4 linked regions of the Arabidopsis thaliana genome follow. The protein of the gene in region 1 interacts with the protein of each later gene in a biochemical or structural test. Each region holds a gene or a part of one and is shown on either strand. Other genes may lie near its edges. The genes, in order: RING1A, AL6, AL7 and AL2.

The links.
Region 2: the proteins of RING1A (region 1) and AL6 form a complex in vitro, tested with the Arabidopsis thaliana proteins (one study listed by BioGRID).
Region 3: the proteins of RING1A (region 1) and AL7 form a complex in vitro, tested with the Arabidopsis thaliana proteins (one study listed by BioGRID).
Region 4: the proteins of RING1A (region 1) and AL2 form a complex in vitro, tested with the Arabidopsis thaliana proteins (one study listed by BioGRID).

The regions. Positions count from the first base shown.
Region 1 is NC_003076.8:17,835,122-17,841,820, reverse strand, and holds RING1A (RING 1A), read left to right. Parts: upstream 1-2,566; 5' UTR 2,567-2,706; coding exon 2,707-3,022; intron 3,023-3,094; exon of another isoform or gene 3,095-3,125; coding exon 3,126-3,171; intron 3,172-3,583; coding exon 3,584-3,642; intron 3,643-3,719; coding exon 3,720-3,750; intron 3,751-3,850; coding exon 3,851-3,893; coding exon of another isoform or gene 3,894-3,932; intron 3,933-4,001; coding exon 4,002-4,018; intron 4,019-4,110; coding exon 4,111-4,231; intron 4,232-4,312; coding exon 4,313-4,354; intron 4,355-4,440; coding exon 4,441-4,992; intron 4,993-5,090; coding exon 5,091-5,198; intron 5,199-5,362; coding exon 5,363-5,572; intron 5,573-5,673; coding exon 5,674-5,706; 3' UTR 5,707-5,972; downstream 5,973-6,699. Other genes in the region: AT5G44290 (Protein kinase superfamily protein), read left to right, coding at 1-145, 223-438, 528-851, 934-1,071; AT5G44270 (TPX2 (targeting protein for Xklp2) protein family), read right to left, coding at 6,081-6,180, 6,281-6,375, 6,463-6,522, 6,605-6,699. UniProt on the Arabidopsis thaliana protein: Putative E3 ubiquitin-protein ligase that mediates monoubiquitination of 'Lys-119' of histone H2A (H2AK119ub), thereby playing a central role in histone code and gene regulation. As part of the PRC1-like complex, repress class I KNOX gene expression.
Region 2 is NC_003071.7:650,490-656,017, forward strand, and holds AL6 (alfin-like 6), read left to right. Parts: upstream 1-2,086; 5' UTR 2,087-2,347; coding exon 2,348-2,444; intron 2,445-2,618; coding exon 2,619-2,651; intron 2,652-2,832; coding exon 2,833-3,061; intron 3,062-3,646; coding exon 3,647-3,773; coding exon of another isoform or gene 3,774-3,847; coding exon 3,848-4,132; 3' UTR 4,133-4,496; downstream 4,497-5,528. Other genes in the region: LOV1 (NAC domain containing protein 35), read left to right, coding at 1-160. UniProt on the Arabidopsis thaliana protein: Histone-binding component that specifically recognizes H3 tails trimethylated on 'Lys-4' (H3K4me3), which mark transcription start sites of virtually all active genes.
Region 3 is NC_003070.9:4,960,768-4,966,840, reverse strand, and holds AL7 (alfin-like 7), read left to right. Parts: upstream 1-2,325; 5' UTR 2,326-2,686; coding exon 2,687-2,783; intron 2,784-2,998; coding exon 2,999-3,031; intron 3,032-3,546; coding exon 3,547-3,775; intron 3,776-4,175; coding exon 4,176-4,302; intron 4,303-4,397; coding exon 4,398-4,670; 3' UTR 4,671-5,060; downstream 5,061-6,073. Other genes in the region: AT1G14500 (Ankyrin repeat family protein), read right to left, coding at 5,061-5,774, 5,870-6,073. UniProt on the Arabidopsis thaliana protein: Histone-binding component that specifically recognizes H3 tails trimethylated on 'Lys-4' (H3K4me3), which mark transcription start sites of virtually all active genes.
Region 4 is NC_003074.8:3,506,937-3,512,577, reverse strand, and holds AL2 (alfin-like 2), read left to right. Parts: upstream 1-1,919; 5' UTR 1,920-2,159; coding exon 2,160-2,259; exon of another isoform or gene 2,260-2,360; coding exon 2,361-2,393; coding exon of another isoform or gene 2,394-2,476; coding exon 2,477-2,699; intron 2,700-3,727; coding exon 3,728-3,851; intron 3,852-3,930; coding exon 3,931-4,191; 3' UTR 4,192-4,582; downstream 4,583-5,641. Other genes in the region: AT3G11210 (SGNH hydrolase-type esterase superfamily protein), read left to right, coding at 29-106, 558-698, 802-878, 970-1,119, 1,264-1,477.

The sequences.
Region 1 (6,699 bases):
TGCATTTAGACCCGCTCTTCCATATGGAAGACGTGTAGCAGAGATGTTTAAAGACTTGCCAACGAATGTTCTTTCCCTTTTGGAGGCTTTACTCTCCATAGATCCCGATCGGAGAGGCTCTGCAGCTAGAGCTCTTGAGAGTGAGGTACAGGTTTAGCTTATATTTGATATTGTGATTCATTCAAGCATTATGATTAGTAACACACAGTTGTTTTGGAGCAGTATTTCAGAACAGAGCCGTTTGCTTGTGATCCATCTTCTCTACCAAAATATCCTCCCAGCAAAGAGATTGATGCCAAAATCCGCGATGATGCGAAAAGGCAACGACCCACCCAGGAGAAGCATGAGAGACAAGACTCTCAGACAAGACGATCACACGAAAGAAAACTGATCCCGCCGGTAAAAGCTAATAATCCATCACTTTCAACAGCTGTGGAGGTAACACAAAGGCTCGATCTGCTATGGTTCGGTGTTCCCTCTGATCCATCAGAATCCTAACTTAAAAAAAAACTTGTTGGCCAATACAGAATCCTTATCTAAGAAGCTGTGTTCCGGGTAATTCACAAAGACAAATGCAGGACATGACCTGCAACAATCCAACAAGCGGAAGAGTCTCTCACTCAGGTCCGATGATGAAAAACCGGAATCTTAGTCGGTTAACATACGTGAAGGACAATGCAGCCCCTAGAATACCTTCATATAGGGCTAACTCAGCAGGACAAGGAGGCGGTTATGTTGGGTCAGATCAACAAATGATGGATCAGCAAAGGAAGGAATTGAGAACATTCAACAGAGCTGACACTATGGATAATAGTAAAAGACAAACCAAAATCCCAAATGACCCATCTTGGGTAAGTCATCTCAAGAGACTATTTTTTTCCTCATTTCTCAGTTACATTGTCTTTATCTCTCTCTCTCTCTTTGGAGATATAGTATGATTCAGGGGATAACAAGATGTACATGTCCGGTCCATTACTGGCTCAGCCAAGAAAAGTGGATCAGATGCTGGAAGAACACGACCGGCAGCTCCAAGATTTCACCAGACAGAAAGCAAAACACTGCAGAAACTAAATCACGTATCTGAATGATTTTGCTGGGAGTCTTTTATCAGAGGACAAAAACAGAGAACCATTCAAGTCTTGTTGTATCAAGAAGAGTCTTATTTGGTTCGTAGATTTTGAAAAATTTGTTTGTAATATATAGAGATTAAAAGATTGTTGTTGGCTTATAAAAAGCTAAGCTCTGTGGTTATAGAGTGATGTGTATAACATTTATACAGACTCATCATAGAGTTTGGTTCTTTGTGTATATTACATGTATGTACACTTCTTCATATATTACAGAGATGTGTACATAACATAACATATCCATATATGTTTCATAGATTCCTATTATCAGTATGCTGTTTCTGATTACATATTTTTACAAGTTCCTAACTTTCAATCAGATTCTGATAAAAGGCTCTTGAAGATAGTAAAACAGTTTGATAAAGATTTGAAAGAAGAAACATATGGAGAATCAGATTAACAAGTCATTCTCATACACAGTAAACTGTGTCAGAAGGTGTCCTAAGATATTTACTGATTATTATCATCATATTTCTCCAAGATGTTATCTTTCACCAATTTGATTACTTGAAAAACTGAATCTGAAATTACTAAAAACAAAACTTATGAAAACTGTTTTCTTTAAAGGGATGAAGAATCAGAAAGAACGTAGCGAATTGAAGTTTTTATCGATCAATTGAATCTAAAGAATCATCACACATAATCGACAACTTTCATCACATTCTTCAGACCAATTTCAAACAAAGAAAATTCGTAAAACGGAATATTGCAAAAGAAGCGAAATTGAGAAACGAGAAGAAGAAATCGAATGAATGTACAAAGAACGGCGGAAGATGAGCTATTTATAAGAGATTGAGAAGAAACCCTAAATTTATCTGTTTGACTAAAAAAGACAAAATCTTTAAACTCTCTGTTTGGACACAAGTACAATTCCAGTTCGGACTGTTTTTATTGGTTACAAATTTCCTTTTTCTTCCTTTGCTTTTGTTGGGCCTTCTTGCTTAAACATTCTTTACTCAATTTTGGCCCAGTCTATTGTTCTAATTTAATACAATAAACCTTGTTAAATATAGTTTAACGAAAGTGATAAACAAATAGCCGTCTTAGCTCAGTGGTAGAGCGCGTGGCTTTTAACCACGTGGCCGTGGGTTCGATCCCCACAGACGGCGTAGCTCTTTGATTTTGTTATAGTTAGTCATTTTATTATTTTTAGTCAAAAATTCAATTTTACAATTTAATCATGGCTTTGGCAAGTGAGCAAGTGGGTTTAAATTTAAATATTTTTCTTTTTTTTCGACAGCAATACAATTTTATAAAAGCGGTCGATTTTATGTTTTTTAAGTTTTATAATCCGGTTTAAATAATAGAATTAGGAGATATTAAGAAGAAAAAAATATAATTAGGATATATTAATTAAAGTGAAGAAAAATGGCAAAAAAAAAAAAGAGGCCAAAATTCTCACTTTTTTCTTCGACCGATTTCTTTCTCCTATTTCGTCTATATCGGCACCGAACCAAAAACACAAACGAAGCAGAACAAGAAGAAGAAGAAGAATAGAGAGAGACGTAGAGAGAGAGAGACAAAGGCTGAGCCTTTTGGGTTTCTCTTAGAGAGAAGATCTTTAGTGTGTGTCCCTACAATGTCTGTCAAGAATAATAGCTTCTCGTCGGCTGAGATTCCCGATGTGGCAGACCAACCACGCGACCGATTTAACCCCGAAGCTACACAGGATCTACAAGAGAAGGATGAGACGAAAGAAGAGAAAGAAGGAGATGAGGAAGTGAAACACGACGAAGCGGAGGAAGACCAAGAAGTAGTGAAACCCAACGACGCCGAGGAAGATGATGATGGTGACGATGCAGAGGAGGACGAGGAAGAAGAAGTAGAAGCAGAGGAAGATGAAGAAGCAGAGGAAGAGGAAGAAGAAGAAGAGGAAGAAGAAGAAGAAGAAGAAGGTAAAGGATGTGTTTTTGTTTCTTCTACTCTCGTGTAAACGTGAGAGTGTTTTGTGTTTGTTCATGTGATCGATTTGGTTCTCTCTCTTTGTTTCTGTTTCAGATTCTAAAGAAAGAAGTCCATCTTCTATATCTGGAGACCAATCAGAGTAATGATTTTTCTCATTTCTCTGTCTTTCTCTTCTCCAGATGTGTTTAGCTTGTGATGGGTTCTCTACTCCAATATTTCTTTACTTCTGTTGTTCTAGTCAATTAAATGTTAAAATTGCTCTGCTTGATTTAGTAATCTGTTGATGCATCTTCTTAGCACTTGCATGTTGTAATTCCTCTCGTATTACTGCTCAAAACCTCTACGCTCTTGTGGCTAAACAATGTAAAGTCTTTACCTTGAATAATAGCGGCCATTACTGGAAGTTGTGTCCTAAGAATGATTCATCTTCTATTTAACTTGACCTTTAGAATGTCAGCTTTATTTTTGTCTTGAGATAGATTCTTTACTGTAGAATAAAGAAGCTGGATGGATCTTTCTTGTTTAATTGTGTCTGCATTTTTTTCATGCAGGTTTATGGAAATTGATCTAGGGGAAATCCGTAAAGACGTGCAGTGTCCAATATGCCTAGGTACTCAATTTTGTCCTGAATATTTCTCGTTGGGAACAGAACTTTTGCTAAAGCTCGAAAGCCGTTACTTTCTTCAGTCGGCATGAAATTCTTGCGTCTTTTCATATCGTATTCTTGTAGATAAGTCGGCATGATTTGGTTCACACTCTATTTTTAAGCTACATTACTACATCTGGCTGAAACGAGTTTCTTGTTGTCCTGTTTTCAGGTATTATAAAGAAAACAAGGACTGTGATGGAATGTCTCCACAGGTTCTGCCGGGAATGTATTGATAAGTCAATGAGATTGGGGTACGGTTTCAAATTGTTTGGGTCTTACTCTTATTATCTATGTTGTTTTCGTTTCTTCTTGCTTCTCAGTTCTGTGCCACTTTCAAGTTAAATATTTCATCATTCTCTTGGGAGCCATAAGTGTTGGCTTTTCTAAAGCTTTTTTTTGAGTTTATATTAACTGAAGTTTCTATTGCAGGAATAACGAATGTCCTGCTTGCAGGAAGCATTGTGCAAGCCGGCGTTCTCTAAGAGACGATCCGAAATTTGATGCTCTTATTGCTGCTTTATTTACAAATATTGATAGTTATGAGGAAGAGGTAAAGCATCAACATATTTTTCCTGCTTGTTTGTTTTGGAGAGATTGTTGCTGTTAAAACGCTTTGTTTTTTTTGGTTCAGGAACTGGCTTTTCACGAAGATGAAATGGCTCGTAATAAGCAGGTCGGATACCATGGAGAATGTTGTTATTCACTTTTTTGACTATTGCTTAAAATATACTTAATCACCTTCTTATGGCTTTTGTGTAGATTCAAGCATCTATAGCTCAGATATCGCAACGACAATCTGAGGCTCTTGTGAAAAGACGATCTCTTGGTAAAGAGGCAGCAGTCTTAATGAGATCACCGCGTATTGCTAGTGGCTCCAGAAGGAGACGGAACAGCAGAAACATGGAACAACAAAACGCATCAGAAGCTCATGAAGATGATGATAATGATGATAATAACAACAGAGGAAGAGACAAAGATTCGTCTTCAGATGAGCGTGGTACAGAAGTCCGGCAGAAGAAACGTAGAAAACGGTCTACAAGTCGTTCAACACAACACCCTTCTTCTTCAGGTGCAAACAAAAACAATGGTAACTGTGCAGATAACGACACAGAAGTGTATAGAGACACCAAAGGCATATCTCCCGGGCTTGTGTGGAATCCCGAGATACTGGCTTGGGGAAGAGGCGGGACAAGGAGTAACACAAGGCATGGGAATAATACTTCTGGAGGTAGTAGTAAGAGTGTAAGGAATGCCCGTGTGAACAAACTTGTTGAATATCTACGCAGCAGCGTAGATGGATCTAGTGTTGAGGTACCAAAGAAAAAAAACGATGATTCTCTTCTTCTTGATGACCTGTATTTTTGATTGCAGTTAGTTTGGATTTCGATTAAACTTAATCTTTCTTGCAGTTGGATATTCATGTCAAGCTTGTCTCGCTGGATACAAAATGTATACCAGACTTACCACAGCCATATCTCTGTTGCCGACCCACTTTGCTTGTAAAACAGCTCCGTGAAGTGAGCACTCTCTCTCCCTTTACAGTTATCATCAGACTTGTCACAGTAGAAAGTGGTTTTTTGTTATATATATTGATGCGAAAGTACTTCAATATGATTCAATAACAAAAATGATTTCAGTATCACATACGCTAATATATTTGTCAACTTTCAATGTTGTACAGTTCGTTGCACTTCAGATACATTTGAAGACTGAAGAGGTTGAATTGTTAGTAACAAGAAGAAGAGTAGGAGAAGATGCGGCAATAGAGAATCTTCCTGCAGTGACTCCAGCTTCAGCAGCAGCATCTAAAGATGAGATGCTGAGTTTGGAAGACAATGAAACATTGTCAAGGCTCAAAATCGATTTCATTTCAAGCCATGAACAACATTTGGTAGCGTCAATAATAATAATTTTTATCTAAATATCTTACAGTCTAATCTAAGTATGATTCAACTTTGTGAGACTTTTTCCTTATTTGGTTTGTGCCTTCAGATCATAGCTTACCGGAAGAAGCAAACTGAGTGAAGAAACTTGGAGCCTAATGGACGTGCTGCGGAAGTGCAAACAGTGTATAATATATAAACAGATGGATCAGGGCTTGTTTTGTTTATCCGTTTGCTAGATTATATATCTCAGTTGGTTTTTTTATTTAGGAAGTTTTTTGTTTGTGACAAACTTTTTTCCTTTGTGTATTCATTGTAGACGTTGCTTAGTATTTCCGGAGCAAGTTTTTATATGGAAACCTTTTTTTTACTATATATATATCAGTCAAGTCTCAGAACACAGGAAGATTATGCTACTGCCTCATTTTATAATGGAGACGTTGAGCGGTTGGTGCGGTTCAAACGTTCTTGAACAGCAATATCTGCTGCTGCTTAGTCTTTTTTACTTTTTAACAGCTACCTCATGTGAGGAGAAACCATCATCATTGTTCTCCTGTCGATTCTTCTAATCACTCTAAGCTTTGGTGAATTTGGTTTTGTCGTCTCCTTGTTCGACCTGTGTTTAATTGACATGGAGTTTTCTTTGTTTAACAAGTGTAGGTAAAAATCAAGAACAGAAAAGAAGAAATCAACTCCTGGTTTGGATCAGAACTTACTTGTGAGGTAAGAATGGGTTGTTAAGGTTTGACACTGGTCTGGTTTGAGGAACGATTGTCCTTCTCAGTTGTTTTAGAGCTCTCTCTTCCTCTACCTGACAAAGTTTTAGGTAAAATACATTTACTATCATACTCTTTTATTAGATACATCTATACTTGGCAGAAAATTTATAGTATTATACCATTTTTGCGGCTTCCGCCTCTTCGAGATGTCTCTTGTACATCATCTCTTTCTCTTTGATCTGGAACCAAAGATGATAGAACAAGTTAGTTGAGAAATCAAAAGGTTTCTTTTAATCTGCTGATCGAGTTAGATAAGCTTACTTTATGGTCAAAGTCTGCCCTTTCGATAGGCCGATGGTCCACATGCAGATTAAACTCTTGAAAAATTCTGTAAGAGGCCTTTAGTTTATCCAGAA
Region 2 (5,528 bases), on another chromosome or scaffold:
GGCGACTACAGCGACAACGCTAATGCCTCAAACTCAAGCGGCGTTAGCTATGAACATGATTCCTGCAGGAACGATTCCAAACAATGCTTTGTGGGATATGTGGAATCCAATAGTACCAGATGGAAACAGAGATCACTATACTAATATTCCTTTTAAGTAATTTAATTAGATCATGATTATTATCCATGACAATAATTATTAATGCTGCTTTGCCATATTTTCATACTCCTTATATATTGTTATGGCGATAGACAATGATTGATTACTGCGAGTTTATGTAATGGAACTGATTCTCAACATATATAGTCAATTAAGTAGTTTTTTTTTTCTTGTGTTAAAGTTAATTTCTTTAAGCTAGATTCAACGTAGTTAAAAAAAAAAAATTCACTGTAATATATGAATACAAAATGACTAAGGAGTGCAATCCGTATCAAAAGTTCTCAAACAAACCAAAGAAGAAATAAACTTATTGGATTAGATTTTCATGTACGAGCCCTAACCGAAACCAGACTAAAACCAAACACTAACTAAACCATAACAATAGTAACCGTAAATCCAACCTAGTGATATTTAATTTGGTCTTCATTCCATTTCAAAATTTCAAATTGAATGTTGATATTTTTTGTTGTTTATTCATCACTTATTAGAATTCATTTTGCATTGTCATTTACATGCATTAGATCCAAGATGTTTAATTTTAGTTACCTGTTAGTGCGACTTTATAGATAAACAATCCACTAACTCTTAAGAATTCAACAACTAATTTTGAGATAGAAATATATAAAGATAAAAGATGTTAGCTAGTTTTTTGTCTTTGTAAATATAAGACTAATTAGGGTTTGACAAAAAAAAAAAGCATAGGACGTGCAATATTTGGTAAGAGCAGTTGTTCCCGTGATTTTGTCAGATATGACCAGCATGAACAGTTGTATGTTGTAAGAAATCAGTTCCCTTTTTCTCAATGAGAAAAACAAATTTAAACTTGACTTAACTCTCATACTAGTCTTTTTAATCCTAATTATTAACAATCTTTAATAATATATGTAATGTGGCAAAATCCTAATATATACTGACTTGAATATGATACGAAAGTACTAATTTTAAAGTTTTTTCCCTTTCTAACCGGTCGATGTAACCGTATTTGCATGTTTTCTTAGATTATTTTAAATAATATATGTCTATCACCTATATTAGTAAGTATATATTCATAGATTATAGTTGATTTTGCCCAAAGAAAAAAGAAGATTATAGTTGATTATACCACATCATTGATATTCTGTGACGAATTAGATTACAGTTGCGGTAAACGTATTCGCTAGCTAGTACGACGTGCTTAACGCAAAAATATTCAAAGATAACGAATCCGATTAATATTGGTTCGTTTCTTAATTCTTACATCTAGAATCACACATAAAAACAATAAAATAATTAAAAATTTGATGAATTTTTTATTTTTTTGAGTGATAAAAGGCAAAATGTTTTCCGTTTTTTAGTAGCTTTCTCTTTCAAAATATCTATTTCTGGTGTATATCGTGAAAAAAACTTTCAAAATACGTGAATGTGATGATCGTTGAAAACTTCAAATCTCATTTCCCCTAGGTTACTATAAAAGCCCACTATCCTTTAATGGGCCAGGCATGCTATTTCTGTACAATACAAGATGGACCTGAATGTTTTAACTTTTAACTTTTATCTTTAAGGTCAAGTTAATTGAAAACAAAAACCAAATTTGTGGATCAATTTGGATGCCTCAGCCTACGTATAAAAACATGTTTTTTTTTCGTAATATTAATGGAAATGAATATGTTAAAAAAAAAAAATACATGTTTTTTTCGTCGACACTTTTAAAAATAAAATAAAATTTAAATAAATGTCTTTGACCAAAATAAAAATAATGTAAAATTTGGGAGTGGGGAATGTAGCTCGGAAAAAAATAGGGTATGTAGATCGGAATTAATAAATAGATTTTATATTATTACATAAACAATAATAAAATACACAATGTTGTCTTTATTTAATTAATACAAAAATAATAAAATAGACAATGTTGTCTTTATTAATATTACTTCTCAGCCCCAAAATTAATCTTTGATCGGTCCCTTTTGTTTTATCGTTTTAGGGTTTGTAGCTCCTTTCTCTTTTTTTCTTTTCTCAATTTCCCCCAAATTAAAAAAAAACTCTCTCTTTCAGAGATTTACAAATTTCATTTCTCCAAATCCGAAACCCCAAAGTGAATATTTTTCCTTCTGGGTTTCTTTTGTTTGCCTGGAAACATTTGTCTCAGATTTTGATTTTGACCGGAGTACTCATATTCTCCGGCGATTTCTCCGGCGACATCGTTTGTGAAATGGAGGGAATTACTCATCCAATACCTCGTACTGTTGAAGAGGTCTTTAGCGACTTCAGAGGTCGACGAGCTGGTCTTATTAAAGCTCTCACTAATGGTCAGTTTTGGTCTGATTCTTGTTTCTCACTTGCGAATCAGAATGATAAGTATCTACAGAGTTACGATTTTGTGGCATTTGGGTTTTTCATTTGTTAAAAAAGAAGAACTTTTTTTATTTTGGGTTTCTTTTGTGAGATTTGACGATTCTGGGTTTTGTGTTTTGTTTATGCAGATATGGTGAAGTTTTACCAAACGTGTGATCCTGGTGAGTTATTTCTTCACAACTTTTAAAAAATTAGTCTTGCTTAGCTTCTATAGTTTCTAGTGAAATGTTTTGTTGAAGTTGTTGAGCTTGTATGTTGTTGAATTGTGTTGGTTAAAGATTGAGTTAGTTAGTCCTCCTCTGTGTGGTTTTTCTTTAAGGTGTTTCATTCTTGTTTATGTAGAGAAGGAGAATTTGTGTCTCTATGGACTTCCAAATGAGACATGGGAGGTTAATCTACCCGTTGAGGAAGTTCCTCCTGAGCTTCCTGAACCAGCTTTAGGCATCAATTTCGCTAGAGACGGAATGCAAGAAAAGGACTGGGTATCTTTGGTCGCAGTTCACAGTGATTCATGGCTGCTTTCTGTTGCATTTTACTTTGGTGCACGTTTCGGATTTGGCAAGAATGAGAGGTAAGGGTCCTTCTCAAGCTCAGTGTTTTTGAGTGTTGCATCTCAATTATGACAATATTGGGTGTACTCATGTGTGGTAAGGTTATAATGATCATTCTAGCATCCTCTTGTTTTGTCTATTTGTCTGATACAACAATCTCTGTGTGGATTTTTGTAACTCACGTGATCTTATTTATAGGGTCGGTTTCTGTGTAACTCTTTTTGTAAGTGGTTCCCAGTTTCTATTTTGAAGTGACTAGAGTTATGAATCGCACCAATCTGGATCAATGTTATTGAGATAGATATATTAGTCAATAGATGTGATATGTGCCTCTAAGTCTGATTAGTACTTCTTGTATTAGTCTTGTGCAGGATCACTGTAATTAGCCTAGGTAGTTTCCACTGCATTGTACCTTTGTTGAGAGCTCAGCAACAATCACTGAATCCATTATTTGATACTGGTAGCTGACAGGTTAAACGAAAAGCTTGAGCAGAATGAGTTGTTGATTCTGAATCTCATCAAATTCTTCTCTGGCATTAGGTTTGTTTGAACAACTTAGCTATCACTTGCCTTTAAGCTTATGCCATGGACCGATTCTTTTTCAGGAAGAGGCTGTTCCAGATGATTAATGAGCTGCCAACCATTTTCGAAGTTGTGAGCGGCAATGCAAAGCAGTCCAAGGATCTATCTGTTAACAACAATAATAGCAAAAGCAAACCTAGTGGCGTCAAGGTATCTCTTCTGTTTCACCATTTTGTTTTATCAATCTCTGCTAAGTTTTATCTCTTTGTATTCCTCACAAACAGTCTCGCCAATCCGAATCTCTCTCAAAGGTTGCAAAGATGTCATCTCCACCGCCAAAAGAAGAAGAAGAAGAAGAAGATGAGAGTGAAGATGAGAGTGAAGACGATGAACAAGGTGCGGTTTGTGGTGCTTGTGGAGACAACTACGGTACAGATGAGTTCTGGATTTGCTGCGACGCGTGTGAGAAATGGTTCCATGGAAAATGTGTGAAGATAACACCTGCAAAAGCAGAACACATCAAGCATTACAAATGCCCAACTTGCAGTAACAAGAGAGCTAGACCTTGAAGTTAAATAACCAAATTATGAAAAGGTAAAGCGAGTTAGGAGAAAATTATGAAAGAAGAAGGTGAAGTTTCCAGTTTATAAGAAATGCCAGTAAAAGGGACTTAGAAGATGTAAGCAGGTAAAAAAAAAAATTGTATTGCTTAGTCTTTATTGTTGGATTGAGACTATCTACAGTTGGTGATGTCTTTTCTTTTCTTTTTTTGGATTTTTGTTGTTGTTAATGTTAATTCTACTACTAATTTGTTTGGTCTGTTTAAGATATTTTAGTTCTGATTAGTAATTTTTTTTTTTTTTTTCTGATTAGTAATTTGCTAAAATTGTAAAAACTATTATGTCGTTATGTAGTCTTTTTATTCATCTTTTATCTTACTCTCTCTTTTATTTAGCTATTTATTTTGTTTCATATGATTGGTAGTTAAGTTGATTATATCACCATATATTATGAAATTGGTATTGGTCAAAAGGTATCAGTCAGGATTAATACTTCTAATTTTTTTTAAAACTGTTTCATTATTGTCAAAAAGAAAAACTGTTTCATTTGAAAAAATGGTTCAAGTATTAATTATCTAATACTTCTATTGTTTTTTCATAGTGCAAATATACATTGCCATCAATCTTGTTGTCTTTTGAACTTTTGCTATATATATAAAAAAAAAGATTGAAGTTGATAAATTATGACAGCCCAAATTATTACTTGACTAGATCTATTTGAGCCCAATGTTAGACAAGGATGTGTGTTTGGGCATGTAGCTTATATATCATGCCACTCATTTATTAGTTTACTTTTTTTTTTTTGGGTAATATGACTATCTATCCTCAGAATAATGATAATTAACTGACAAAAAAAACACCGTTGTCTTCTACTATTTTAATTTTATGACAATTATACCCCTAAATTAATTAAACTAAAAATAAAAGGTTCGATGAAACATTAGTACGTTAAATGAAACATTTAGTACGTTCAAATAAATATTATCCATATATCGATTATCTTACCGTGTTAAGACAAATATTATTTCGATATTTAGTATGTTACCATGTTATTATTCATATATCGATTATCTTACCATGTTGAGACAACTATTATTTCGATATTTAGTATGTTAGCATGTTATTATTCTATGTAAAATGTTATTATAATCGTTATCATTTTAATTATATAACATGATGTATTTTTATTGTGTTGATATATATAAAAATAATAATATTGATTCATAATTTTAAATCGATAAACATTTATTTAACATAGAATATGTAAATTTACCACGTTATTATATATGTTAGCTTGCTAAACAAATAGTTATATACTTATTTTTAAATATTAAAGTTATTTTGAATCGATGATATTTTTGTAATTAATCTAAACAAGAAGGATATTTCTAGTTTATATTTTATT
Region 3 (6,073 bases), on another chromosome or scaffold:
AATATCAATTTATATATTTTTGTGTATAAAACTGATTATTTATAAGATTTTAATATTTTTTCACTTCATGAATACATATAACAACAATAATGATATTTTGATACAATTCTGTGAAACTATGTTACTTTTGTGGTTTAAAATTCTCCTAACTCGTTTATAAATCCTTGTTTTATGTACTTCAACAACATTGTGATAGACTCATGATTAAAGTTTGGATTGACATCAACTGAAAAAGATCTGAAGAGTATTCGTACAAAAAAATAAAAAGATAGCAAAAATTGTCATGGGCGTGCTCTTAATATTGGTACTTACTTGACTTTTGTTGGCGAGGTAAGGGAACCCCATGTTCCTTTTGGTTCTTCTTTATTCAGGAAATAATGTGGAATCTTTAAGAATATTGGTGTTTTCGGGGATGTGCAAGCTAAGTTACATCTGATTTCGTCCCTCTTTATAGGATTGGCTTTCCTTCGGGTGGAAGGCAAAGATTGTTGAAATGCTTGGAGAGGCTACTGGCATACTTGCCTCGGTGATGCAAGATACACTGAAACTTTTTAGTTTATGGTCCTTATATTTTTATTATGTTTTAAATATGACCCATAACTTTTGTAATTACAACTATTGCCCCATTATCCTCGAGCTTAATTAACTAAGACTAGTAAAATCATTTGTGAGCCCTTTCGTAATCAAATTTCAGACCAGGTTTACCCGAACTCCATTATATTATGCGAACCGTATTTCAGTGACAAAATGTTGAAAAGTTTTTCTCATCGAATTTCGGGGTTGAGGGCCTTGTGTTGAAATGATTTGGTTGAAGATTTCGGATGATGATCTCCATAATCAATTGTGGGCTTCAGGTGGATGGACGGAGAAGACCACTGCGTTATGGGCTTCGTTGATTTCAAATTGGGCGTTTTCGTGAGATTAGGCCCATTGTTGAATAGTCAGCTTGATTTTGTTGCCTTAGTATTTTACAAAAATTGTTGACTGGTCAGCTGATACTACATTATTCATCGAATGTTTATGAATCTATTACGAATGAACCTTGAGAGAAAGATAGTTTGTTATGAATTCATTCCACATTGGTATTACAATAGATTGATTCGAACTTATACTTATTATATCTAATAAGTACATATTAGAAGTTAACTAATAGTTAGCTAACTTGGAAGGCGAGTCATGTGACAGTAGCATATTTTTAATATTGATTAATAACATGTTTACAAAGTTAATAGTCTACTTTTATTAATGTGGCAAGTACGTGAATGTGTTCCTAATCCTAATTATTCGTAAATATATTTAAATTTTATTAGTTAAACTACCTTTTAATTAATCAAACAATACGAAACTCCATCAAACAACTTTATACAAAAGAACGACACTTACATCCCAAATTAGACAACCATGTTAAAAAATGCTGTATGCAAATAGCTCATTAGACCATGATGAAGAGCAAACCAAACAAATACATATTGTTTTAAAATCATTTCCATGTGTCATCTGATGATTCAACATGTCAATAAGGTCGAAACGTGAAATGGAGCAAACTGATTCTTAGACAACATCCGGAAACTTAATTATTGGTATGAAGATCAAAATGTTTCTTTGGTTTCGACGTTATACCATTAATCTTTCTGCTAAGTATCTGACAACTTGTGATACACGTCAAGTATCTCCCAACTGTGACTAACTTCTTCTTCTTTTTTTCTTCTTCATAAAAACAACTGATTGTTCTTTTGAGGATAAAAGCATCAACGCCTCATTTTACTTACTTACCCGCAAATTCTAATCTGCAAAAAGATAGGAAATACATAGTCATCCATCCTAATGTAGTTCTAACTTCTATGTATTAAAGCTTTGTAGAGTTTGATTTGAATATAATTCACATGAAAATTAACAAAAACATGTAAAACAGTAGTATAAACAAAACCAAAATAATAACAAAAAACATTAACGATTAAACAAATCAGATAAAGACCCTCGCTCTCTCTACGGTATTAAGCTTGAAGCATTCTTTTTAACTATTAGTAGTATAATTTAACTCATTATTAACTAGAGATTAATGACAGAATATTGTAAAACCATCAATTTTGTTTAAAATCATTATTTTTTTTTAATCTTTAGCCTTTCCATTATATTGATCGACAGATATGGATATTATAGTACAGTTCTTAAACGTTAATCACAGTAAAACTGGCAGAAATTTACTGTATTATTACTTCAGTTCGTTGTAGAACATGCCTCAGGAAAAAAAAGCGCACATAAATATTGACCCAAAACAAAAGAAAAGTAAAACGACTTTATATTTCTGGAGTGAATTAAATAAATAGATAAATACAGGTTGTGACTTTAAAAAAAAAAAAAAAAAGTTGAGATGTTGTCGCTTTAATCTATTCTTCCAATGCTTCCAAATCCCTCAAATTGTCTTTTGTCTCCTTTCCTTTTCGTTTTTAGGGTTTTTTTTTCTTAGCACAGCTCTCTCTTCTCAATTTCCCCAAATGAAATAAATTCCTCCGAAAGTTTATAGATTTCACTCTCCCCCGAACTATACAAAATTCCCTCAAAAGGAAAAACTAAAAAGCCGATCTTGGCTTTTTTGTTTCTGAGTGCATCTCGATACTTGGAAGCATTCTTTGGTGAGGCTGATTCATTCTCATCTGTGAAAGTCTTTGGCTTTTGAAGCAATACTATGGAAGGAATTCAGCATCCTATACCTCGCACTGTCGAAGAGGTTTTTAGCGACTTTCGTGGTCGTAGAGCTGGTCTCATCAAGGCTCTCTCTACTGGTCAGCTCGATCTCTCTTTCTCTATTTACTCTGTTTCTTTTGATCGAATCTTAGATGATTTCTGTAGATTTGCGAGTTTTTTTTATATGTTTAGTGCTCGTTTCTTCAATTGGGTTTTCTTAATTTCCTGAGAAAAAAACCCCCAAAAGATTTTGGCTTTCTTCTTCCTGTTTTGGGTTTATTCATGTTCTTTTGTTGTGTGTTTTGTTTTGCAGATGTACAGAAGTTTTACCATCAGTGTGACCCTGGTGAGTTATTTCGTTACCCATTTAAAGTCTTGTATATAGCTTCCTAACGCATTGGTTCTTATCTTGTTTATAGGAAGATGTGTTTTTTTTTTTTTTGCTAAAGTTAAGATTTTTCAGTGCAAGAGTTCCTTTCGGGTCTGAATTAGGGAAGAGATTGTAATTGGACATGCGTTTTTTTTGCTTCATGAGTTTGTTCACGGATTCTTTTTGTTCCCAGCTTTTGTTTTTCTAAATTCTGTTAGATTGTTTTAGTTAGCTTCTTCCTGATTACATCTAATCTGCAGTAGACTTGTTGTTATGATCCTTTTTCTAGTTGACTCCTCTGTTAGGTGTTATATCTTTGATTATCTTCCTGTCAGAGTTGTTGTCTGTTTGAACAGTTTTTTTGGTTCATGATGTTTGAACAGATTATAGACTTTTTAAGTGTTTGTGAGATTTGTACCTAAGATGAAGTTAGTTCTCTTTGTGGTTTCTCTTCTTGACTTCTTAGTGAATTACGTTTTTTGCTAATGCAGAGAAGGAAAACTTGTGTCTTTATGGACTTCCAAATGAGACATGGGAGGTTAATCTTCCCGTTGAGGAGGTCCCTCCTGAGCTTCCTGAACCAGCGTTAGGCATCAATTTCGCAAGGGACGGAATGCAAGAAAAAGACTGGATTTCTTTGGTTGCAGTTCACAGTGATTCATGGCTTATCTCTGTTGCATTTTACTTTGGTGCACGTTTCGGATTTGGCAAGAATGAGAGGTAAGTTTCTTTCTCTGCTCAGTGTTCTGTGTTTGTTAATTTTGCTTGTTTGGTAAAGCTTCAATGACTAGTATAGTAGCTGCATAATTCTAGCATCCAAACACCGTGTAGTTGTTGTTGTAGATACTAGTGACGATCTCTGGCACACTAAACTCATGTTATCCTGTTTCTGTGAAACAACCCTGAAGAAGTGATCATCATTTTTTCTCCTTCAGTAGAGAGAAGTGAACCTACAAATGTATTGAATTCCATCTAAGCTGAACCAAAATTTATTGAGATTTAAGAATTTAGGTCAAAGATCATGTTTGTTGAATAGCCAAGTAACATTGTTTGTTTTCTCTGATATTATAGACTCAAATGGTTTAGTTATCTTGCCTCTGATCTTATTAATTCCTTTCAGGAAGAGGCTCTTCCAGATGATAAATGATCTCCCAACCATTTTCGAGGTTGTAACTGGCAATGCAAAGCAATCCAAGGATCAATCTGCTAACCACAACAGTAGCAGAAGCAAATCTAGTGGTGGCAAGGTAGAAGCTTCTGTTTTCTCTTTTTTTTCGCCCTCTCAGTCCATGTATCTGTGTTGGGTTCTTATCTCTACTTACTCCTTTGTTTTCTAATGCAGCCTCGTCATTCTGAATCTCACACTAAGGCTTCAAAGATGTCCCCTCCACCAAGAAAAGAAGATGAGAGCGGAGATGAGGATGAAGATGACGAGCAAGGTGCTGTTTGTGGTGCGTGTGGCGACAACTATGGAGGAGATGAGTTCTGGATATGTTGTGATGCTTGCGAGAAATGGTTCCATGGGAAATGCGTGAAGATCACACCAGCAAAGGCTGAGCATATCAAACATTACAAATGCCCAAGTTGCACTACCAGCAAGAAAATGAAAGCCTGAAAGTGATAATAACATTAGAGCCTGTGAAAGAGGAAAACGTTTTCACAGTTTAAGAAGACAGTACAAGAGTTTAGCTGTGGGAAGAAGAAGAAACAAAAGGCTTCTGATTGCGTAGTTTTAATGGGATTGAGACAGCTTACAGTTAGTAATGTCTCTTTCTCTTTTCTTTTCTTTTTTTTTGCTGTTAATGTTAAAATGTTATGACTAATTTGTCTTAAGTTTCTGAGAAAATTCTGTCTTTTAAGCACTCTCTAGTCTATGTCAAGTGGTTTCTTCTTCTCGGTATCTCACTTGCTTTAAAAGTTTTAAACTTTGGCTCCCGATGAAACTCATTAAGCTGATTACCTCATAGAACATGACATTCAATAACAATTTGTCGAGGTTATATCTTTAGATTCTCAAAGTCCCTCTCTGTTTCACAAATGTAACAAACATTCGATTTACTGCAGCCTTCAGATGGCTCAGCCTCAGGGCTATGAAAATTTCCATAAAGAGATACATAGGAAAGAGCAGGTACAAGGTAAAGGCCGCACAAAGAAACAATAGAGGGTTGGGTGAGATTATAGCCATAGCAAGCGCATAAGAAACTCCCAGAGACGCTCCAATCCAAAAGAACCATGTTGTAAACAAGCTACCGATTGGTAGGAGACAAAACGTGTAGAGTAGAGCGCAACAGAAGCCTATAGTGTTAGAAACCCAAAGGACGATGAAGAATGTCTGTTTCATTACTGCGGTACCACCACCCTCGGACTGGTGTACACCTCCTGGAGGCTGGAGTGCAGTTTGATAAGTGGATGTGAGTATCAAAGTACATATAATCAAGAAGACTGCACGGCCTTCTTCTGAAGTGTCGGACCTTAGGCGTCTGATGCCAATGGAGCAATGAGCCAAGAAAGTGACTGGTGACTTAAACTGATCAGACGGTTTCTCGAGTTGCGGAAGAGAAGCCGCCTCCTTGCACCCGGTTTTTACAACAACTTGTTCCAAATCCTTATCCAAGTCTCTACTCTGTCCATTGTTTCTTAAGATATCAAGGAATGTTAAACCATCCGCATTTACTTCGTTCAGTTTCACCAGCTGACACTGTAGCAGCAGTTTTACCGCCTGCATACATATCTTTTATACTCAGGCCAATTTTGACACAACATGACAGAAAACATACAAAACTAAAAAAAGTTTAGTAGCTTTAAGAACTATACCTGATGATCTTCCTTATATGCTGCAAGATGCAAAGGCGTGTTGTGTGCTAAATCTTTTCTATTCAAGAAATCAGATTCGGTGGAAGCAGAATCTTTTTGGCTCATTCTTTGGAGCCAACCGGTGAGGACTTGAAGAATTTCAAATCTATCATTCATCACAGCAAGGTGAAGAGCGTTATGGCCATTCACACTCACATCTTGAAT
Region 4 (5,641 bases), on another chromosome or scaffold:
TTTCTCCATTTGGATGTTATGTGTATAGGCCGACATCATTCTGCGAGGATATTATGGATGGAACTCTTCTCGTGCTTTGGAAGTTGTCGACCAAGTGTTCCCCAAGGTACTCTTTCAACTCCCTTTTTTTTTGCTTCTTCTCTCTTTAGACTATTAGTTTCTTCAATACTAGATTATGATAAAGATTCAGCGTTTTATAGGTCTTTATATTAGTCCGTATAGGTTGATGTGTGCTTATCATTTGACCTAGTAAGAATTCTTTGTGAACATTATTTTACTAGTTCAAAATGTACCCCAAAAGGATTACACAAGTGGCTATTTTAGTTGCATAGTCTTTGATTTAGCATACAAGACTCTGCATCTGTTTCAAGGGAGATGTCTCTGTTTAAGCATAATCTGTTTCATCCGAGTTTTCTTGATATCTCAAGCTGTTTTCTCTTACCCATTATAAAAAAAATTTGGTAGAATGAGCTTAACTTTGTAGAAAACCATCATATTCAAAGCTTCTGTTTTCTTCCACTTTGTCGCCTAAAAATTGCAACTTGTTACGGATGCAGGATGCTGCAGTACAACCTTCTCTGGTCATTGTCTATTTTGGAGGAAACGACTCAATGGCGCCTCACTCGTCTGGACTAGGACCTCATGTACCACTTACTGAATATGTTGATAACATGAAGAAGATCGCTCTTCATCTTCAGGTTTATACTTCCTTTATAATTGTTAGATTTATTATTTATCTCCTGTCAGTCACGTTTAAAAGCCATTTCAAGTGCTAATTTCTTCCTCTATTTTCTGTTTCAGAGCCTTTCAGACTTCACCCGAATCATATTTCTTAGTTCTCCTCCAGTGGATGAGGCTAAAGTTCGCCAGAACCAAAGGTAACTTCCCTGAATTTCTTCACTATCTCTCTGTTTCTCCTTATTCTCTCCGGCCTTATTAATATAGATGTGCTTCTTTTTCTCTCACAAGCCCATACTTGAGCGAGGTAATCCGCACAAACGACCTCTGCAAGACTTATTCAGATGCTTGTGTAGAGCTGTGCCAAGAACTCGGCCTAGAAGTAGTTGATCTCTTCTCTACTTTTCAGAAAGCAGATGACTGGAAAACTGTTTGCTTCACGTAAGTATTTTTTGAGTTCTGAAGAAATATAGAGAGACCTTTGATATATATGACTTTCTCAGAGTTTCCAAATGCGATAACCGGGAATGGAGTATCGACGATGTTCATTGAAATGTTTTAACGGTATAGTCTGGTTTGTTACAGAGACGGGATTCATTTGTCAGCACAAGGAAGCAAAATAGTAGCGGGAGAGATACTAAGAGTGGTTAAAGAAGCGGAATGGCATCCATCACTTCACTGGAAATCAATGCCAACAGAATTCGCAGATGACTCTCCTTATGATCTTGTATCAGCAGATGGCAAACAGACAGTAAATTCTTCAGAATGGACTTATTTCTGGGAAGAACAATGGGACTAAACATTTCAACACACACAACAACAACAACAAGACCCTATCTTCACATAATTCACTGTCTTAATGTGATAAAGCTTTGCTTTAGATTGTTTACATTACAAGTGTCTCTGCTATAATCTGATTCAGTTTCGCTCGAAAAACGTTACCATTTTAAAGTTTATACTTATCTAAATCTTAAATCACAGAAACACACCAAGTTTGTGTTCAAGTAATTTCTTTTTTTCTTGTTTACATTTTACAGACATTAACAAATGTCTGAAACTCATCACATAACACTCCTCCAGACAGGGGTTTAGTGTTTTGAAGGTAAAATCACAAAGTAACTAAATTTGGGCCGATAACAAAAAAGTCGCTTAGGAGATTGGACTTATTTGGGCCTAAAACCTAACACTTAAGGGCCCAACTAAAATGCCATTTACCTAAAAAGCGACGCATCTTCGTCTACTACCAAACCTTTTCGCTGACGCAACCAAACTCCCAAAAATAAAAATAAAGTTTTTATTTTCTCTCTCTCTCTTATTTTTCTTCTCCTTCTTGTTCCGTCTGCTTCTCTCCATCTCCTTCCATATCTATTGTTCTCTCTCTCTTCATGCCCGAACGCATCGGGTCTCAAAAACCATTGATACAGACATCGATCCTTGTCAACTAGTACTGATCTATAAATCTTATAAAAATCTGTAGAGATATGGCCGCCGCAGCCGTTTCCTCTAACCCTCGCACCGTTGAAGAGATCTTCAAAGATTATTCCGCTCGTCGTGCCGCTCTTCTTCGTGCTCTCACTAAAGGTCTAAATCCTCTCTCTCTCTCTTTCTCTAAATTTCCCAGATTTCTTCGTAATGCCTTTGGATTCGTCCTTTAACTTGTTCGTTTTTGTGATTTTTTCCAGATGTTGATGATTTTTACTCTCAATGCGATCCGGGTATGAAAGATTTCGACTTTTAGATACCCTTTTATGTGTTTTATTGAGATTTGATTTCAATTTTTGGGTGTTTGTGGTTATAGAAAAGGAGAATTTGTGTTTGTACGGACACCCTAATGAGTCATGGGAAGTGAATCTACCAGCAGAGGAAGTGCCTCCGGAGCTACCTGAGCCTGCTCTTGGTATCAATTTCGCTAGAGATGGTATGCAGAGGAAAGATTGGCTTTCTCTTGTTGCTGTTCACAGTGATTGTTGGTTGCTCTCTGTTTCTTTCTACTTTGGAGCCCGTCTTAATCGCAATGAGAGGTATTTCTCTTTTTCCCAACATTTTGATTCTGCATTCTCATTGTTTTGTGTTTTCTTAAGCCATGTCTCCAACTTTTACTTGATTTCAATGGATTCTGTGTTGTTCTTACATGAAACCCCATAGTTGTTTTCCATCCTGGCTCTTCTCATGTGAAGTAAAAATTGAAACTTTGTGATGATGATGGAGTTCGTTTGGAATGAGATTGTCTTTGAATTTGCGTGAAATGAGTTTTGTTTTGTTTTGTTTTTTTCGCTATTCGTCATTCATATCTATGGAGTATTGTTTGTTGCATGACTTCATCTGTCTAAACTTTTTCTCAGCTCTTTTGGATATTGTAATGGCTAAACTTGAAACTTGATTATCCTCCCTAATTTTAAAAGCCTGGTATTTGCTATTCTATGAAATCTGAAAACGGATATTCTGTGGTCGCATGTGCTGAATTTCACCATTTCATTGTTACATCTGAACACCCATCTTAGTAACTATGGAATCCAAAGAACTTTACTGACAAAGGTTTTGTGAAAGTTAAATTTTGACAAAAAAAATTGCTATTTGATTAGTACTAATGAGATCATTTTACTGTCTGTCTGTCATATATTCTAGAAAACAATGTTATTTTGGTTATTATCTGTTTCATTGTTCTTCAAGAGAGAAGTAGTTGTTGGCATTTAGATAGGTTTCAATTAAAGGTGCAAGAAACTGGACTTTGTTTTCTCAACCAGTAGTTTCACTATACCATTAACAAGTCTCTAAAGTGATCCTCTACCATTTTAGTCCTCTATCTTATTTACACTAGACTAGTAAAAAGCATTTCGTAAGATGCATTTCCAAGGATAGAGAATTTAACCCGACAGAGCTGCAAACAAATAATGCTAGATAAAACATCACAATTGTGTGTTGTACTGATATGAAGATTCTGGTTCGTTTTTCCTCACTTTCGCTTGCTAATCTAGTTCTTAGCTTATCTTAGCTGCCTTTTTCAATGTGTTGTCCACTCATGGAGTTATATTATTCTTTTGATTTGCAGGAAGCGGTTATTCAGTCTGATCAACGATCTCCCAACTCTCTTCGATGTAGTGACTGGTAGGAAAGCCATGAAAGACAACAAGCCAAGCTCGGACTCAGGAAGCAAATCCAGAAATGGCACTAAGGTACACAAAATAAGGAGCCTCCTTTCTTCTTTTTTGTTATCTGGTTTCCCTCTTTGAAATCAAAAATCGTAATTAGCAGAGATCAATAGACGGGCAGACAAAGAGCTCAACACCGAAACTAATGGAAGAGAGCTATGAGGAGGAGGAAGAAGAAGACGAGCATGGAGACACTCTCTGTGGAAGCTGTGGAGGTCATTACACAAATGAGGAGTTCTGGATTTGCTGTGATGTTTGTGAACGTTGGTACCATGGAAAATGCGTCAAGATAACTCCGGCTAAAGCAGAGAGCATCAAGCAGTATAAATGCCCGCCTTGCTGTGCAAAGAAAGGAAGACAGTGATGCTGATCAATTGATGATGATGATGATGATGATCTCTCAGAGAGACTCTGGTTCTCATGTTTTAATCAATATGTTAATCAACTTTTTTTCTTTTCTTCTCTTTTTTTCTTTAACCTTCTTAATTTTAAAGCATACAAAACTCTCTCTTTAGATCTCAAGAAAGGGATTTCAAGAAGTTGAGGGAGAGAGTAGCAAACTGTTTGAATAATATTATTATTATTCATATTAAAAAAAAAAAAACTGGGTTGTGTCATCAATTGTGTTGTGTCATGGGGTTTGTATATGTTAGACTTAGTCAAATCTTTAAGCTTCGAACCGAATTTTGAACAAATATGTTTTTAATCTTCTGTTAGGTCTTTTATCTGTCTTAAGATATTGTTTTTCATAATTTTAAAGAATATTATTATCCAATATTATGTGATATGTCAAAGTGATAGTCTTCTCATTTGGCCGGAATTGTAAAGAGCCAACATGTTTTCCAAGTTCTAAAGGGCAAGTAAATGTGATCGCAAGCCTTAGAATTGGTAAGTTTTATAATTAACCATCAAGATTGTCACAAATCATCTCTAAATCCAAATCTAAATTTTTCAATCAAATTTGCGACAATAATCAAATATTTTTATTTTTTAAAAAAAAAAATACTATTTATTTAGCATCATACTCAATAAGAAATTCATGAAATGTTAATAGTTGACAATCGACTGAATTTAACTAAATTTTAAACTCATCGACTGAATATTTATTCGACGATAATGATTTGTAGCCTAGTGTTTTGGTTTGTGCTAATTAATGCATGTTGATGATAATAATAATAACAATGATCAATATTCAAAATCAATACAAATCAATTTATAAATGTGATCATGCATGTATGTAATATCAAGAAGGGCGATCCCAAGTAAAGCCAGCATGAAGATCACAAATTCACAATACAAAAATCTTAGTTTTGGGTATTCAAAGTGATATCCGTCCAATCTTCTTCGTAAACGTTACTTACAAGCTCCCCCAAGTCCCCAACTATATATGATAAAGAACTTAAATCGGATCTAACAAGATTCTGTAATACATGGTCAACACGAATTATCCTTTTTATATACATTACTTAATCTAATATGTGTACCATACTACCATCTTTAGATACTAGATATTTATTGCGTTCACATGTCCGTCATTTTGTTTGTCAATACTAATTTTTCTTAAGAAAATTAAATTGTCTAATAGATTAGTTGCTCAATCAATACAGAAAAGACTAGCACCGATAAGCTCCATTATTAATGTTACTAATCATAGAGATAGAGGAGGCATAATTATTGATAGACATGCTTCAACATAAATCACGGATATTGATTTTGCATAATAGAAATACAATAGAACCTAAAAGAACTAATTATAAACATATATAATTCACTACAAGGGTGACTACAAAGTAATTTAACTTAAACAAATGTTT